2 linked regions of the Bombyx mori genome follow. The protein of the gene in region 2 purifies or fractionates together with the protein of the main gene of each other region. This does not show direct contact. Links are inferred from orthologs where the notes say so. Each region holds a gene or a part of one and is shown on either strand. Other genes may lie near its edges.

Region 1 (3,954 bases), on a different chromosome or scaffold from region 2:
GTATGTAAGTAATTCTGACCTGTAGGACAAACTCAATAAAGGGGGAGAACAAAATAAATGGTTTATGCATATGAAAGCTCTCTAGAAAACTCAGCAAGATTTCAACAACAAGATTCATCACTAACAAATCCATTCTTTTTTTATTGCTTAGATGGGTGGACGACTTTACCTGATATTAAATGGTTACTGGAGCCCATAGACATCTACAACGTAAATGCGCCACCCACCTTGAGATATAAGTTCTAAGATCTCAGTATAGTTACAACGGCTGCCCCACCCTTCAAACCGAAACGCATTACTGCTTTACGGCAGAAATAGGAAGGGCGGTGGTACCTACCTGTGAGGACTCACAAGAGGTCCACCAGTAAGTACCACCAGTAATTACGCAAATTATAATTTTGCGGGTTTGATTTTTATACACGATGTTATTTCTTCACCGTGGAAGTCAATCGTGAACAATTGTTAAGTACGTATTTCATCAGAAAAATTGGTACCCGCCTGCGGGATTCTAACATCGATGCATCACTAGATCCGAATGCACCGGACGTCTTATCCTTTAGGGCACGACGACCTCAAAATTCGACATCTTCTGAAACTGCCGTTTTTGAACCAGAAATAGTTTATAGTTCCAGAAATCACGCTATAAAACAGGATCGTGTACAAATGAATAGACAATAACAATAGTTAAATAAAAAAAATATATATGTTTTTTAAACTGGCGGAAAGCCACGTTCAGCAATTTTGTTTCATTTCCCTGCTTAAGAGACTTTTGCTAAAATTATATGATTACCTAATAACTTGTAACCATTAAAAACTGTATAAAGAGGAAGAAATTCTAAACTGAGAAAATGAAATCGCTTAAATAATAAGCGTCCTAAAATTAAGTCAAAAGGTCCCTAATTAAACTGAAATGCACCGCTGCCTAAAACTGTTTTAAATTAATTTAAATATGTAATTCCTTTTCCAGTCATTTTTTTTAAATTTCATGGAAAAGACATGGCTTTAACCTTTATTACAAAATTAATTATTAATTAAATTATTTTTCTTTTGCCTTGTCAATGAACGAAAAGGAAAAAAAACGGATGTAAGACTGGTTTTGTATTATCTATGACTGGTATATTATCTATGACCAGATTGGGACTTTTTGGCGGGAACGCGAGGAGTGAAGTTGTGTGGTTTGTTTTATTTTGTCAATTTAATGTTTCTTCAGGTTTACATGTGTTATACACATAATAACGGTGGTTTAATAACTGTTTAATATCTGTGAAAGTGTATAAAGTTGCTGGACGTAACTTCTTGGTATCCTCCAAAAAGTTCACTGAAAAAATCTCAGTAAATGATTACATTACACTGAGATTATATTTCATCCCATATCATCTCATCTCATTTCATTTCATTTCATGTCAGTCGATTAATGTCTCAAATTAATCATCTTGATTTCACGCCATTTTATCATTTTTCTTAAAAATAGGAGACGTGACTTAAAGGTATTAGTTACCAAGTCATAAAGTACCTTATCAAAAAGATTGTCAACATGTGCTTTTTTTATTAGTAAATAAATTCAAATTGAAATCAGCTAGCTTGCATTTAAGTTTTGAAAAACAGTCAAAATGCAACAACCACATCGTCCCGGCCATTTCAAGCAGAGCAATAAAACTCATAAATCACGCCATCGCTCAAAACGAGGTATCGCCGCTGCTGTAAAAGGTTAGGATGTTTTCACTAAACCTATAAAATCGCTATTATAACTTTATTTACCTAAAGCTGTGTTTCAGGAAAAGTCAACTTGAAAGAAATTGTTCGACGTAATCGTCGTGAGCTTAGAAAAGACGATCGCCGTCATCAGGCTTCACAAATTCGCAAAAATAAAAGGGAAGAGGTTCTAGCTACGAAACGTGCTTTAGGAGGCACTAGGAATCCGCCGTTTCTAGTTTGTGTCGTTCCGCTTAATGCGCAACTCGATGTAGGATCGGCACTCGCCATTCTGAAGACCTGTTCTGATGGGGCTGTCGTAAACGAGTCTGAAAACGGAATTGTACACATCGGGTATGTTTATGTTTGTACTATGAACATAAAGCTAGACCTCAAAATTGACAGTAATTTTGCTGAAAATAATTATTTATCATTCTAGGTTGCCAAATTTCAAACAGCGGTTTTCGTTTATTTGTCCTGAAGTAGGTGACGACTTTGCACTTCTTGATGTTTTAAAAATAGCTGACACTGCCCTCTATGTAAGCTCAGCTTTAGAGGAACCAGTTGATGAATGGGGAGAAAAAGTTTTAGCACTCTCTATGGCCCAAGGAATGCCTACCCCTGTAGTAGTAGCAATGGATATAGAGGGAGTCCACCCAAAGAAACGCACTACAGAAAAACAGAATGTTCAGAAATTGGTCTCAAAATGGCTTCCAGAAGAAAAGGTAATGCAATTAGATAAAAAATCAGATGGTTTGAACTTGTTAAGGAAAATAGGAAATCAGAAACGTAACATAATACATCATAGAGAGAAAAGACCTTATATGCTGGCTGAGGAAGTTGAATATGTACCCGATTTAGAAGGTAACAGTGGTACTTTAAGAGTATCAGGGTATTTACGAGGAATGGCACTTAATGTCAATGGACTTGTTCATATTACTGGACTTGGTGACTTTCAAATGACTAGAATAGAGGGTTTTGAGGACCCCCACCCATTTCATTTGGGGAAAGAAAATACTAATGATGATGGTATGTATGCTGAAGTCACAAAAATGTCAGTTCTCGCAGTAGCTGATCCTGCGAAGCAAGAGAGTCTTCAATCAGAGAATGTGCCAGACCCTATGGATGCAGAGCAGACCTGGCCAACTGAAGAAGAAATTGAACAAGCTAATTTAGAGGTAATGTAAAAATAATTGTAAAAATATTGTCAAGTATATTTTGCTGGAGAGTAGTACATCTTGATTCAAAACATAAAGCATTGATTTTTTTTTTTTATTGCCTTTGTAGGCAGACGGGCATACGGCCCACCTGATGGTGAGTGGTTACCGTCGCCCATGGACTTCAGCAATGCCAGGGGCAGAGCCAAGCCGCTGCCTACCGCATGTAATGCAAATAAATAATTACAAAATTGTCTAAACTGTTTACAGACACAAAAGAAAAAAATCAAGAAAGTACCCAAAGGTTGGTCTGATTACCAAGCTGCTTGGATTGTCGAATCTGATGCCGAGGAAGATGGTGATGAGTCTGATAGTGGAGATGAGAAAGAAAACGATGAGTTTATGTCTTGTGAAGATGATAATTCTGATCCAGAGGACGATAAACAGTTCAATGATATTGAATCTGTTACCGAATCAGAGGTTGGACCCACAGATGAGAAGTATGATGCCACAATAGACACTCAGGAAGAACATGAGATGTTGCAGAAGTTAGCAGCTGCAAAAGAAGATCAGCAATTCCCTGATGAAGTTGATACCCCGCAAGATATCCCAGCTAGAGAGCGTTTTATGAGATACAGAGGACTAGAGTCTTTCAGGACATCAGCATGGGATGTAAAGGAAAATTTGCCTCAGGATTATTCTAGAATATTTCAGTTTGAAAACTATGAGCGCACCAGGAAGAGGGTTTTTAAGGAACTCGAAGACAGTTTAGTTAATATGGTAAGTAGAGTATAGAAAACTTTTTTTTTTTCAATATTCATGTTGTGTTCGTTAACAGTTTAATTTATGTATGGTATTGATTTAATACAAAACCAAACATTTTATTACAGTATGGCTTTTATATAAGAATACATGTAAAAGGTGTTCATCAAGATTTATGGAAAGCCTTTAGTACAGCAAATCCGAATGCTCCGTTGGCTGTTTTCGGACTTTTACCACACGAACACAAAATGTCTCTGATGAATGTAGTATTAAAACGCACTGGTGCCTGCAATGAACCTATCAAGAGCAAGGAAAGACTTATATTCCAAGTTGGTTATAGAAG
Region 2 (4,220 bases):
TTCATTGTACTATTTCTGATAAAATTTAATCTTTGACATTCAGTTGAGTGATAACTCATGTTATAATGTCAAAGGAACTCATTAATCTTCACACAAAATATACAGCATTTACAATGTTAAGTATAGTAGAAACTTCTTTGTTAAAAAAATTATATACATCCAAATATATGTGATATTCAAGTTTACATATTTAGCTTGCTTTTAAAAACTGTCTAAAGTTACACATTCTAAAGATATTTATTATAATTAATATAAAATGACTTCTGTTTTTACACTCTTTAATTTTTAAAATTACATTAGTGTTTCTAATATTTAGGAAATGAAAACATTAATCCAAACAAACTTTTTAATTAAATTTCTGAATATTATATTTCTATGTTTTTTAATCAAATCATTTTAAAAGAAATCATCATCATGAAGAAATTTCAAAACTTAAATATTTAACGCGAGCAACCTTACATACATGGTAAAAATTTAAAGATAATTATTATTTATAATGACATTTTTATTAAGCAATGTGGTCAAACAGATAAGAGTCATAGAAGATATGATCATTATACCCTCAACATACAAAGTACTTGCAATGTTCATTAATATCATCAATTAACAAGTGCAGGGCGCCTCCGCATGACTCATAATACGATCGGATGAATACTTAGTACCTACTAAATGGAAATAGTGTAAACAAAAAGGTTTACCACAACAGAAAATACAGTTTACCTCGAGGTTGAACTCCAATTCAGCATCCAATGTGCATACTTTAACTGGAAAAGATTTAGCAGCTTTCTTCCTCCGGAAGGGCGGCATTATTCTTATATCATTTCTCGTTTACAAGAATCACGAAACACCACCGAGGTTATGAATTTTCAACTAGCATTTAACTAATTACACGGCAACGTCTCCCGTTTACGTAATGAACACTCGATAAAGGAATGCGTGTAATTTCACATTGCGTACTATTTCCAGCGGTTATTATTTACAAACAAGAAAAACGTCAATGAAACAAGCAATGCGAAGGTGAATGAAAAACCTATTGAAAGGTAAACGTTCCATTCTACTTTAAAATACATCGGACTGGTCATTGAAATGAAGTTTAGGTCACGTATAACGAAACGTAATATGGATTTGAAAAATGAAAGAAAAAATCGGACAATGGGTTCAATGAAGTGATATTAGTTTAATAAAATGTTGCGGTTGATTCCTGAACTGAAATAGTTTATTTTAATATTATTATTTTTTAGATATTTAATTAATCTAATATTTTTTAAGTAATGTTTTTATTCCGTAGTTTACCTAACTCTAAACTTCAGCTCTCGACCCCGATTAGATGTGATCCACAGTATTTCTAACTACTCTTAAATCTAATTGAAACAGTTTTACTTTGCAGGATAAGACTTGCGTTCATTATCCATTTTGCCTAGAAAGAATGTGTTTGACGTTTGACAGTAATTTGACAACTATTTCATTTTGCTTGCTGCATAGACCTATTTCCTACTTCATTGGCTTGCTGTCATTATTTTCAATCAAAACACTGAACACTTTTTCCCCACGTGTGTTACATCTTTCATTTGCATATTGTTATGAAATACTAAAATGGGTAAATTTAGATCAAAACTTAAAGGCAAAACGAAGGGGAAACGATGGCAGAAAGGACAGTCATCAAATTCGAACCCGAAAATTCAAAAATACAGGGAGATGGCAAAATCCCGGTTTTTTCAGGAAAACTTAGGTATGTTCTCTCTAAAACTTCTCAAAATCATTCGTTATGGAAAAACGGATTTATAAACATCACAAAAAGTTGTTGAACAGTAATTTCAAAGTAAAATTTCCTTATAAAATCATAACCTAGAACATGACTAAATTAACTAATCTCATACTTTTTATGTTAAAATTAAGATAATTTCCTTATAAGTGACTCCTCTAATTAACTTCTACAGGCAGCACTGGCTTAACACAGCAAGCGGTGTCCAAGCATGAAGCTATGATGACATATGGACATAAAACTAACAAAACAAAATCAGATGCTGAAAATGAACTGACCATAGTAAAAGAGCTTGAAAATATGTCGGTCAAGACCGGAGACGAGGGATCAGAGTCTGAATACTCTGGTACATTAAGATCAGGAACATTTAAGACATTTCAAACATTTGCATCTGATTGGAGTCAATGTTCAAATATCAGCTTTCATAAGTAAGTTAAAGTTTAAATAGATATTTTAATTTTATTGCAGTATTTGAGACAGTACCTGAAAACAGGTTTCTATACTCACAATTGCTAATGTGATATTGAAAATAAAATACAAAATGTGGATAATTACTTAAGTAAGCCTTTATATGCACTTTAGTTATGACTTTAAATAGTCATGACTAGGAATTATTTGGAAAACTACTTGGAATAGAAATTATTTGGAATTCAGTGGAATACTGAATTATAATTCTAAGATGAAACTTAGGACATGTTCTTCTTAAAAAAATCTCTTTTAATCTTTTTTCATTTCATACTTTAAGTACCACTTTTTCATGAGAGACTTGCTTATTATAAATTTGGAATAAATTATATCAAGTACTAAGAATTTTTGTGAAATAATTTATGACCAAAACTCATTGCAACAAAATAAAGTATGCACCAGTGAATAAGTAAGAGCTAAACAAATATACTCTCAGATATATTCAATTGATACTTGCAGAAGAGAAAGTATTTATACATATTTGGCTATAATTTTACTTTATTTTTTATATTACTTTGACTTAAATCAAAATCAATTTACCGAAATACCACATCACATCTTTTTATTTCTTCAATAGATTGAGTCTTTAAGTTTAATGCTCTTCATTCCTTTATAAGCTAAGATACACTCATTTTTTATAAAATTTACTGTAGATTGCTAAATCGTTTTGATTCAAACAATGCACTGCACAAGGAAATGCTAGCAGTGCTGGCGGCTGTGACTGAAGTTATCAAAGAACAAGGAGGTAAAGAGACTACAACGGAATACTTTGCTGCTCTTGTAAGTAATAACGGTCATAAATTTCTTAAACTGAAAGCTGATATCTTATACTTGGATATATAGATACAGTGAAACTAATAATAAATAAAAATAAATGAAACTAATGTTTAAGTGATGGCAAAATTTTCAATAATATCTTCTTTTTGTCCAACTAGTGGGTCGGCACAGCAAATTATTCTACTCCATTCTTCTCTTTTATCAGCCGTCATCTTAACATTCACTTCCCTCTCATATCGTCATTCACACACTCCATCCATGTTTTCTTCGGTCGACCACCTCTACCTTGCACTACCATTTCCATACATATCCTAATCAAATGCACCTTCTCTCTACGCATCACATGTCCAAAATTTTTAATAATATACTACTATATATTTCTGTATAGATGGAAACTCTAAAGGCATCCGAACTGGAAGACAATTTAGTAGCCACAATAACTTTACTATCAATGGGCATCAAAGCAGTACCACAAGCAGTACTGCGTAAACAATTTTCGGACTCCTCAACAATATTTATGGAATTACTCGAGGAGCATGCTCAGTCTGAAAATGGAGCATTGCTGAGGAGCACAATTGGATGTCTGTCGGTGCTGCTGAGAGCTCAGGAGTATGCTGTCTGGGGTGATTCATCAACTATGAGAGTGTTTGAATCCGTTCTGGCCTTTGCACTGCACTCTAAACCCAAGGTCTGTTCTGAACCAGATATTAATTTTATTACTTTTTGAATTGATTTTTATATTGGTACAACTCACACATTCCAAATAGTAATTGTTTATAATTTTGTAATCTGTGCAGGTTAGAAAAGCGGCACAACATGCTGTGGTATCTATACTACGCGGAAGTAGCTTCATGATACCATCAGAGGATAAAAAAATTAAGGTATTTGAACAAAATCTAATTATATATTATGCTTTAATGAAACGTCCAAGTTTTCGAAGTGCATTTATTAAGTTACTGTTACATAAACAAAGAACGACAAATATATAATGATTATAATAATTATGAAAACAAAATAAGTTTTTTTTAATATGGTCTAAGAGCTGAGTTACGTTAGCAATACTAATGTCACAAACAAGCTGGTGCTGTATACCAATCTTCTCAAACCTCGTTTGAATTAGACCATATTGTGCACTAAATACTGTGGAATGGATTTCAACCCTCAATTCAATTCAAACGCAGTGTCTAGATCTCTAAGTGGTAAGAATCAGCTGTAT

The links.
Region 1: the proteins of RRP12-like protein (region 2) and pre-rRNA-processing protein TSR1 homolog purify together in Homo sapiens (affinity purification with mass spectrometry; 3 studies listed by BioGRID and IntAct, counting the BioPlex papers as one, with this or other methods). This does not show direct contact. The link is inferred for Bombyx mori from reciprocal best matches to the Homo sapiens genes RRP12 and TSR1.

What each region holds. Positions count from the first base shown.
Region 1 is NC_085128.1:3,653,815-3,657,768, reverse strand, and holds the start of pre-rRNA-processing protein TSR1 homolog, read left to right. Parts: upstream 1-1,141; 5' UTR 1,142-1,175; intron 1,176-1,471; 5' UTR 1,472-1,610; coding exon 1,611-1,707; intron 1,708-1,775; coding exon 1,776-2,046; intron 2,047-2,131; coding exon 2,132-2,870; intron 2,871-3,119; coding exon 3,120-3,629; intron 3,630-3,739; coding exon 3,740-3,954. UniProt on the Homo sapiens protein: Required during maturation of the 40S ribosomal subunit in the nucleolus.
Region 2 is NC_085122.1:2,609,107-2,613,326, forward strand, and holds the start of RRP12-like protein, read left to right. Parts: upstream 1-1,407; 5' UTR 1,408-1,593; coding exon 1,594-1,729; intron 1,730-1,937; coding exon 1,938-2,190; intron 2,191-2,880; coding exon 2,881-3,007; intron 3,008-3,392; coding exon 3,393-3,692; intron 3,693-3,801; coding exon 3,802-3,885; intron 3,886-4,220. Other genes in the region: merlin, read right to left, coding at 721-807.